Linked DNA regions of Oryctolagus cuniculus. The protein of the gene in region 1 interacts with the protein of each later gene in a biochemical or structural test. Links are inferred from orthologs where the notes say so. Each region holds a gene or a part of one and is shown on either strand. Other genes may lie near its edges. The genes, in order: NUFIP2 and FMR1.

What was found.
Region 2: the proteins of NUFIP2 (region 1) and FMR1 form a complex in vitro, tested with the Homo sapiens proteins (2 studies listed by BioGRID and IntAct, with this or other methods). The link is inferred for Oryctolagus cuniculus from reciprocal best matches to the Homo sapiens genes NUFIP2 and FMR1.

Annotation. Positions count from the first base shown.
Region 1 is NC_091448.1:44,718,975-44,722,788, forward strand, and holds part of NUFIP2 (FMR1-interacting protein NUFIP2), read right to left. Parts: coding exon 3,477-3,814; intron 1-3,476. UniProt on the Homo sapiens protein: Binds RNA.
Region 2 is NC_091453.1:126,438,583-126,443,151, reverse strand, and holds the start of FMR1 (fragile X messenger ribonucleoprotein 1), read right to left. Parts: upstream 2,849-4,569; 5' UTR 2,627-2,848; coding exon 2,576-2,626; intron 1-2,575.

The DNA.
Region 1 (3,814 bases):
CCACATACATGAATGGATAAACATTATACACACACACACTGAACTATTATTTTGGCCTTTACAAAGAATGATGTTCTGTCATGTTACAACAGAAATGAACCTCAAGAACATCATGCTTAAGTTAAATACGCTAGTTCCCAAATGAGAAACACTATAGGCTTCCACTTATGAGCTACTTATAATCAAAACAGACAAAGTAAAATAATGGCTGCCAAGGCCTGGGAAGAAGGAATGGAGTTACCGTTTAATGGGCATAACCTTCGTTTACATGTATTTTTTTTAGACTTATTTATCTGAAAGTCAGTTTCAGGACTGGTCTTCCTCTTATGAGTCACTCCCCAAATGGCTGTAAAGACCAGGGTTGGGCCAGGCTGAAGCCAGGAGTCACTTCCAGGTCTCCCATGTGGGTACAGGGGCCCAAGGATTTGAGCCATTTTGCGTTGCTTTCTCGGACGCATCAGAAGGGAGCTGGATGAAGTAGAGCAGTCAACACTGGAATGGGAGCCCATAAGGCACTGCAATGGTGCCTTAACCTTCTGCGGCACAGTGCTGGCCTGCTTATATAGGTATATATTTTTAAAATTTATTTATTTAACTTGAAAGTCAGAGTTACACAGGAAGAAGAGAGGCAGAGAGAGAGAGAGGACTTCCATCTGCTGGTTCACTCCAATTGGCTGCAACGGCCACAGCTGTGCTGATCCGAAGCCAGGAGCCAGGAGCTTCTTCCAGGTCTCCCACACAAGTGCAGGGGCCCAAGCACTTGGGCAATCTACTGCTTTCCCAAGCCATAGCAGAGAGCTGGATCAGAAGTGGAGCAGCCAGGACTCGAACCAGCACCTATATAGGATGCTGGCACTGCAGGCGGTGGCTTTACCTTTTTTAGCACTGGCCTCTAAAACATTTTTGAGATGGATGGTTGTGATAGTTATAAGCCGTTACTTAAGACCAGTGAACTACACACATAAATGGTTAATATTATAGGGTCCCTTGCCACCCCTGTGGGAGACCAGGATGGAGTTCTTGCTCTTGGCATTAGCCTCGCTCAGACCTGGCTGTTGCAGTCATTTGGGGACTGAACCAGCAGATGGAATATTTGTTTTTCCCTCTCTGTTGCTCTGCCTTAAAAAACAAAACCTAACACAAAAATTATTTATTTATTTGAAAGTGTTAAAGAGATAGGGGGAAATCTTTTTTTTTTTAAAAATGCACCACTCCAGGACCAGCATTATTGTGTAATAGGTAAAGCTGACGCCTGTGACATCGACATCCCATAAGGGTACAGGTTCAAGTTCCGGCTGCTCTACTTTTGCTCCAGCTCTCTTAATAGCCTGGGAAAAGCAGAGATGGCCCAAGTGCTTGGGCTCCTGCAACCACATGGGAGACCCAGATGAAGTGCCCGACTTCAGACTGGCCTGGCCCAGCTCTAGTCATTGCAGCCTCTTGGGAGTGAATCAGCAGGCAGTTCTCTCTAAATAACCTAAAGAAATGCTCTTAGGGGCCGGTGCCGTGGTGTAGCGGTCATGGTTGTTCCACTTGTGATTCAGCCTGGAAAAAGTCAGAGTTACACAGGGAGAGGAGAGGCACAGAGAGAGAGAGAGAGAGAGAGAGAGAGAGAGGTCTGTGCCTGGGAAAACAGCACAGGATGGCCCAAGTGCTTGGGCCCCTGTATCCACGAGGAAGACCTGGAAGAAGCTCCTGGCTCCTGGTTTCAGTCTTGCACAGCTTTGGCTGTCACAGCCATATGGTGAGTGAGCCCTCTCTTTAATTCTGCCTTTCAAATAAATAAATAAATCTTTAAAAAAAAATAAAAAGTTATTCAGATGATCAAAAGGTTAACTTAAAACCAATTCAAGTAAAGGGAAAACTAACGAACCAATTGATCACTAATGGACCAATCAACACTTGGCAGCAATTCAAAGAACTTGCCACTCTGGAACCCAAACTGAACATTATCTGTTGTTCCAGGGGAAAAACAATCAATATCAACCTGATTCATTTTAATACACAAACTTACTAAAGAAAATCTTTTCAGTAATACCAGCAAAACTAAACACATTTGCATCTATATGGCACATTTAGTTTATCTGAATCACTGATTTTAGTTAGCCCATATATAGGGAATGCACACAGAATAACTGGAATACAAACTAATGCTCTCATTTAAAAAGGCCTACAATTACACATAATAAAAAAGAGAATCATACATAAAACAACTAATCAACTACCTAGTAGAACAGATCCCACAAATTTTGAGGTAGCAGAATATAACACAACCAAATATCTTCTCAGGCCTACACAATGACCACCACTAGACACTTTGGTAAACATTTTCCAATAACATTATTTGAAGGGCAGATGGCACAGAAAATGACACCCTACCCTCCCAGTAGAATTTAATTTAAATAGAACTAAGTATTTCTTTTTTGCCCTTACAGCCCTAAAAAAATAAATCCAGTTCCAGGGTAAACCTCATGGTTAGTTCCCAAGAGCAGAACTAGAGAACAAGTGAAGGCAGGTGAATTTTACCTGCCAGAATTCTTGTCCCTTAACGTCCATAAGGCAATTCTACTGCTTTCCACTTTTTAAGGAAAAGATCAATTTAGTTCATTGTACCAAATAAATGTTTTTGTTCACAGAGAAGGAAAGGTATGTAAGATTAAGAAATTTGCTCAAGTCACATAAAAAGCTTTGTTATTCATCTCTGATGCAATGATTTCTTCCAGGGAAAATATGGTAATTACCTCATACCCACAATCTGATATGCATATTCTTCCCAGCAGTTCCAAATCATGCCTAAACGGCCATGTTAAAAATGGGAATGTGCAGTATCTATTAATTGTGTCCATGCAGACATGGGTATGGGAACAAAGGTGGAAAAGGTATGAAGATTAAAAACCACTGTCCTAAAAAGCAAAAAGTTTATAAATATCATTTGTTACACCTCACTATTTGCATTAAGGATTTAACTTATTTTCTGGTTACTATTCAGCACACATTATTCCTTCTTATAAAAGATGTAAAGTTTGATACTCCATCTTTTTTGGACCCTTCTTCAAAAATACTGCTCTTATTCATTTTAGGCAAATTAAAAATATTAAATGACTTTGGAATTAAGCATATAATACAAAAAATAAGAGACAGGGAACATATACCCAAAGAAAAAAATTTTTGAAGAACTCATGAGATAATATAATGTCACCCTTCTGGGCAGGCACTGCCTACCTCTCTTTAATTTATACTTGTCCATATAAGATAATGTTTTTAAGTAGGAAAAAACGAACATTCATTCTTTCTCAAGTTTAACCATACTATTTCCAAAGACCCTGAATTAAAGAGTTTGATATTGGGTTCTTATCCACATTGTCATTCTCAATTAACCTTTGCAAAGCAGCTCATAGTTTTCAAAATTTACTCTTAATACAAATAAAAATAAATTAGACAGTAAGAATCTTTGTATAAGAAACAAATGAAGTTACCTTTAGTGTGATATACAATAGCAGCCCTCAGGTCAAAAGAACCCCAGCTATCATTCCTTTCTAGGCCTCTCTGGTATCTCTGTTCTTTGGCGGAGCCCAACAAAGTGTTCGTAGGAGAGGCCAGAGGATTTTGATTTTCTATCTCGTAGTCCTTTGAGAGAAACACTAAAGCACCTTGACTACTGGTGTCTGCTTTTTGCAGGTCACCTATATGACTGGGTTCCAAGGATAAGGCTCCACTCTCATTAGTAGTCCCAGATTTTAGAATGTTACTCAGAACTTGAGGACTAGTCCGTTTCTCCAGCTCATAAGCCTTGGGAAACACAGGATGCTCAGTT
Region 2 (4,569 bases), on another chromosome or scaffold:
CACAGTGTTTTTATATCTTAGGGTACCCATAGGATTCTGTGAGTGATACATGTAATCAACTTTTACTAAGTGAGAGAAGTACTTAAGCATAAAAGTAGTGGCTCTGGCGATTACCAAACCCAATTTCAAAGTTTTTAAGAATAAACACCAAAGGGCAAAGAAATAGAACAGTTGCATCTTGGGGCTTAGATTTCATAGTTCTGTTAATACTGAATCCTAAGCTCGAGTTATTTTTTAGAGAAAGAATCAAACATTTTTCAGTATACAATCTATCCGTGGTTGATACTGCAAACTTGGACAATGTACTCAGAAGATGGAGAACTGCCCTTCAGAATATGGTGGTTCTGCCAGGCACAGCAACGTCTGAATTCAAATTACCCTGAAGTTGTTTAATCTATTTAGTTTCTGAAGACTTTTTTAAATCAACTTGATGAGCAATGTTCCATTTTTCTCTAAAAATTTTACACTTCTCCAGGTGATCATTTTTTAAATTGATCTTTACTTTCCATCCTTCCTGTCCATCCCAGATGAGGAACTTATTTTACTTTTGCTTTACTTTTCTAACTCAAAGCAATATTATAAGTTATATAAAGGTTTAAACCTTTTTTCTTTATCAAAACCATGTTTCCATCAATATAGACCATTTGAGGTTTTCTTAAAAAAATCAACCTTAATTTAAAAACCATAAAAAAATTCCCCTATAGTCATTCAAGTATTATATTTCCCCAATGGGAACTAAAGGACAACCCATTCTTGTTTGTTCACCTTCAAATTTAGTGACTCTGTTAAAAAATGAAACCCAGAAAGGGAAGATCAATGACAAAAGGCAGAGGATATTTCTTATATTCCAGACAGTTTACAAACGAAATCACGTGAGCCAAAAAATCTTTCAAGACCAGGATGTTTTAATTACTCTCTATGGCAAGCAAACTTCACTAAAAGAGAGTTAAGAGCCAAAGCTAATCTAAGCTGATATTACAGATTAGGGTACTACTTAACCATTACTATATGTATATATACATATGCATACATACATACATACACAGATATATGCACATATGTATACATTAATAGTTAATACCACAAAACAAGTGACTAAAACTATCAATCCAGGACCCAGAAAGATTCTACACAAACAAGCAGAAACTATGGATCACTGAAATAAATGCAACTAAAATTTTGACTGCAGCGTCAACTGAAACTGCTTTATATTGGTGAGATTAAGAACATAAATGCTGTGCAGTTTTGCTTCTTTGTACAGTAAGAGGTTTCTTTTTGCAGAAAGCATAGAACAGATATATATTACTCACTTACATGTTGAAGTCCAAACGTTTCCACAAAACTGGTTAACACATTATGTTTAATAACTATTTTTCATACTACTATGTGCATCTTCTATTGCTAAAATACTGCTGTCATGTGGGATATTTACAGAAGTTACATTCAAGATGAAAAGAACTTAGAGATTACTAGATCTACACAGTAAGTGCATCCCAATAAACACTACCAATACAAGAAAATACTTTTAATGTTCTTTTTAAAAATGTTAATAGTTGAGCTGCAATGATGTAACTTAAAAAGACAGTGAATCCATGAATGCCTTTTTAAAATCTCAATAGTTAGATCCACTGCAACGGTAGAGAATAAATAAAAAAAATATGGTCAAGTTCTTAAGAGCACAGAGCAAATATTTCCAAACGGTCTTCAAAAATTCCCTAGTAATCCTAAACTCTCCGTTAATTTCTGTGTGGTATATATTTGTCTTTGGAGACTTAAACAGGAAAACATAAGCAGCAGAACGGCTCATCTTTTTAGAGACTGAAGCGTGTGTATTCCTGAATTTACCTCCATTTATATAAAGGCAAGGGGACTGTGAACGTTCCCGACGATCAACTTCTTTAATGCATTGTTGCTCGGATGTTAGGGTTTTCCTGAAACTTTTGAGTGTAAAATCTCCTCTGAAATCCACAAAAAGAGGCCACTGAAAATCAGTTGCCATTGTGATTGAGTGCTGACTACCACTTCTTACTCTGTCTCTGCACCCCTTACTTGCCCAGAACAGGGGAGCTCTCCGAAGTCCCAATGATGGACTGGAAAAGAGGAGCCAAAGGAGACCTTAAACCCTCTTTGGCCAGGAAGGAGGCGGCCCGGCTGAAGCGCCCCCTGCTCCTCCACAACTACCCACACGTCAGGCCTGGATCCCAGAGGATATTTAGGAAAGGAGGAATAAGCCGTCGCCGTCACTTAGCGCCGATCTCGGCCCTTCCCGCCAGGATCCCGTACCTGCCGCCGGCTTTTGCCCCATCCTCATCTCTCCCTGGCGGGTCTTGTCCCCGAAAGGGCCCCCACTTCGCCTAGGTTCCTTTTCCTTCCCATAAGCTGCAGGGCGGAGACGGAGCGGGGCTCCCTACAGGCCCCAGGTCCGGTCTTCCCTCCCAAACAACATCCCGCCGAGCGCGCCTTGGCCCCGGGCGCGGCACTCGGGAAGAGGGCCCCAGGCCTGCCTCCTGCCGACGCCAAGAAGAAAAGGGAGGAAAGGGAGAACGAAGATGGGCCCTGCCCTGGAACCAAGTACCTTGTAGAAAGCGCCATTGGAGCCCCGCACTTCCACCACCAGTTCCTCCATCTTCTCGTCAGCTCTGCTCGCGCCGGGAGCCCGCCCCCGAGAGCTGGGCTGCGGGCGCTCCAGGCCCAGCCGCCGCCGCCGCCGCCGCGCTGCTGCACGCCCCCCGGCAGCGGCGCCGCCGTCACCGCCGCCGCCCGCGCTCGCCGTCGGCTCGCCGCCCGCTCTAAGGCGGCCCCTCACCGGAAGTGAAACCGAAACGGAGCCGAGCGCCTGATTGAGGCTGAAAGCTCGGCCCGCTCCGCGTGTAAACAGTGAAACCGAGTCACGTGACCGACACCGCCCCTCCCCCCGCGGGTTCGGCCCCCTCGGCCCCGCCCTCTCCCTCCTTAAGGGCCGAGGAGCGCGCACATGCGCACTGCTGGGAACCAGCCCGGATGCCGGGTCGGGGTGCGCGGGCTGGGCGTGCGCGAGCTCGGCGGAGGGCGGGAAGGCGCGAAGGGCGGTGACAGGTTGTGCCGTCTCGTGTGCTTGCTGAGGCCTCAGCGCCCATTACTGTAGAGGCGCCAGTGAAGTCGGAAGTCGTGAGAAAGGGCCGCTCGCAGCGGTCGACTGCATTTAGTTACTGGAGTTCAGCCTGGCTATGACTGGAGCAAAACGGTTCGTTTGGTTTGGTTTTTTATTTGTTTGTGGTTTTTGTTGGTTTTTTTTTTTTTTTTTTTTTTTTTTGCATTGAGCTGGAAGTGGAATGAGCAGAGGAGAATAAAGGTGAAGAATTTGGCGAAAACTGAATTTGTAACAGTGGCAGCTAACGGTAATCCAGCCTCATGCAACCTATAAAAACAGCGGGCAAACAGTAACGCCCTTGCTCCCACAAGAGACTTTGGACTGTCCCCTGGATACATCCTGTGCCTTTTGATGGGTAACACATTGCCTCAGGACCTCTGGAAATGTTAGCCTTTCCTCAATTCAGTTTCATAATTAATTTGACATACGTGAAAATAGAATGGGTGTTAAACACTGGTTAATTCCTTTATGGTTCATTTCTGCTCCTACTTATGCCCATCCTCTACTAGAGTAGACGACGGGTATGTGTGTAGCAGTCTCGCGACCTGTCCACAGGGACCAGTGCACATTTTCCTTGCATCTCTCCCCCTTGACCCTGCTCCATTAAAACCAAGCCTAATTCCTTATTCCTGCCTCTGCACTGTGTGTGTGAACCTGTCTCTCCCTGTTTCCTTTGTTTGGAGTTCTTGTATCCAACTGAGAAGTTTGTTGAGTGCCTACCAAGTACCAGGCACTGTACTAAGTGCTAGTGAAACATTGATGAGCAAAAAGAGAAAGAAAAGACTGCCAACATTGAACTTGGAACTATAGGAGTTGATTGACATAAGCAAATTATCAGAAAAGTAAATGTGGAGTTACAACTGTGATAAGGGCTAAGAATAATTACACCCCTATGATACTGGAACTGACCCAGTCTGGGATTGGGGAGGGGCGGGCAGCCAAAGGGAAATGGTTTCAGCTGAAGTGTGACAGGTGCGAGTTAACTGGCAGCACTTAGTTGGGGTAAGTGAGATGAACTTCCCCAGGCAGGTGCCCCAGAATGAGGCATCTTTAGGCCTCCGATTCCCTTCCCACCACCCCCCCAGCCAGAGCAACAACATTGCTGCTTGTGGAACTTCAGCTTTAAACTAGTAGGATAAGGACCACATTCCTGGTGGCTATACTAAATGGAAATGACCTACTGGACTACGGTATTTGGAGTACTCATGAGATGTGATGATACCACTAGCTCTGAAAGACAATTTCACCGTATGCTGGATGCAAGCAGAGGATTGTCTTTAGCTCCAACAAGGTAAAAGGGATATATTGATTAAAATGATTATGCCTTCCACATGTTAAGAAGTTGTGCAATTCTGCCAAACCTTTCAAAGATATCAGCTTTTCACAAGTCACACTCAACCTGGTACTGTTCCCTGAACCTATGATGACCTTTCATACCT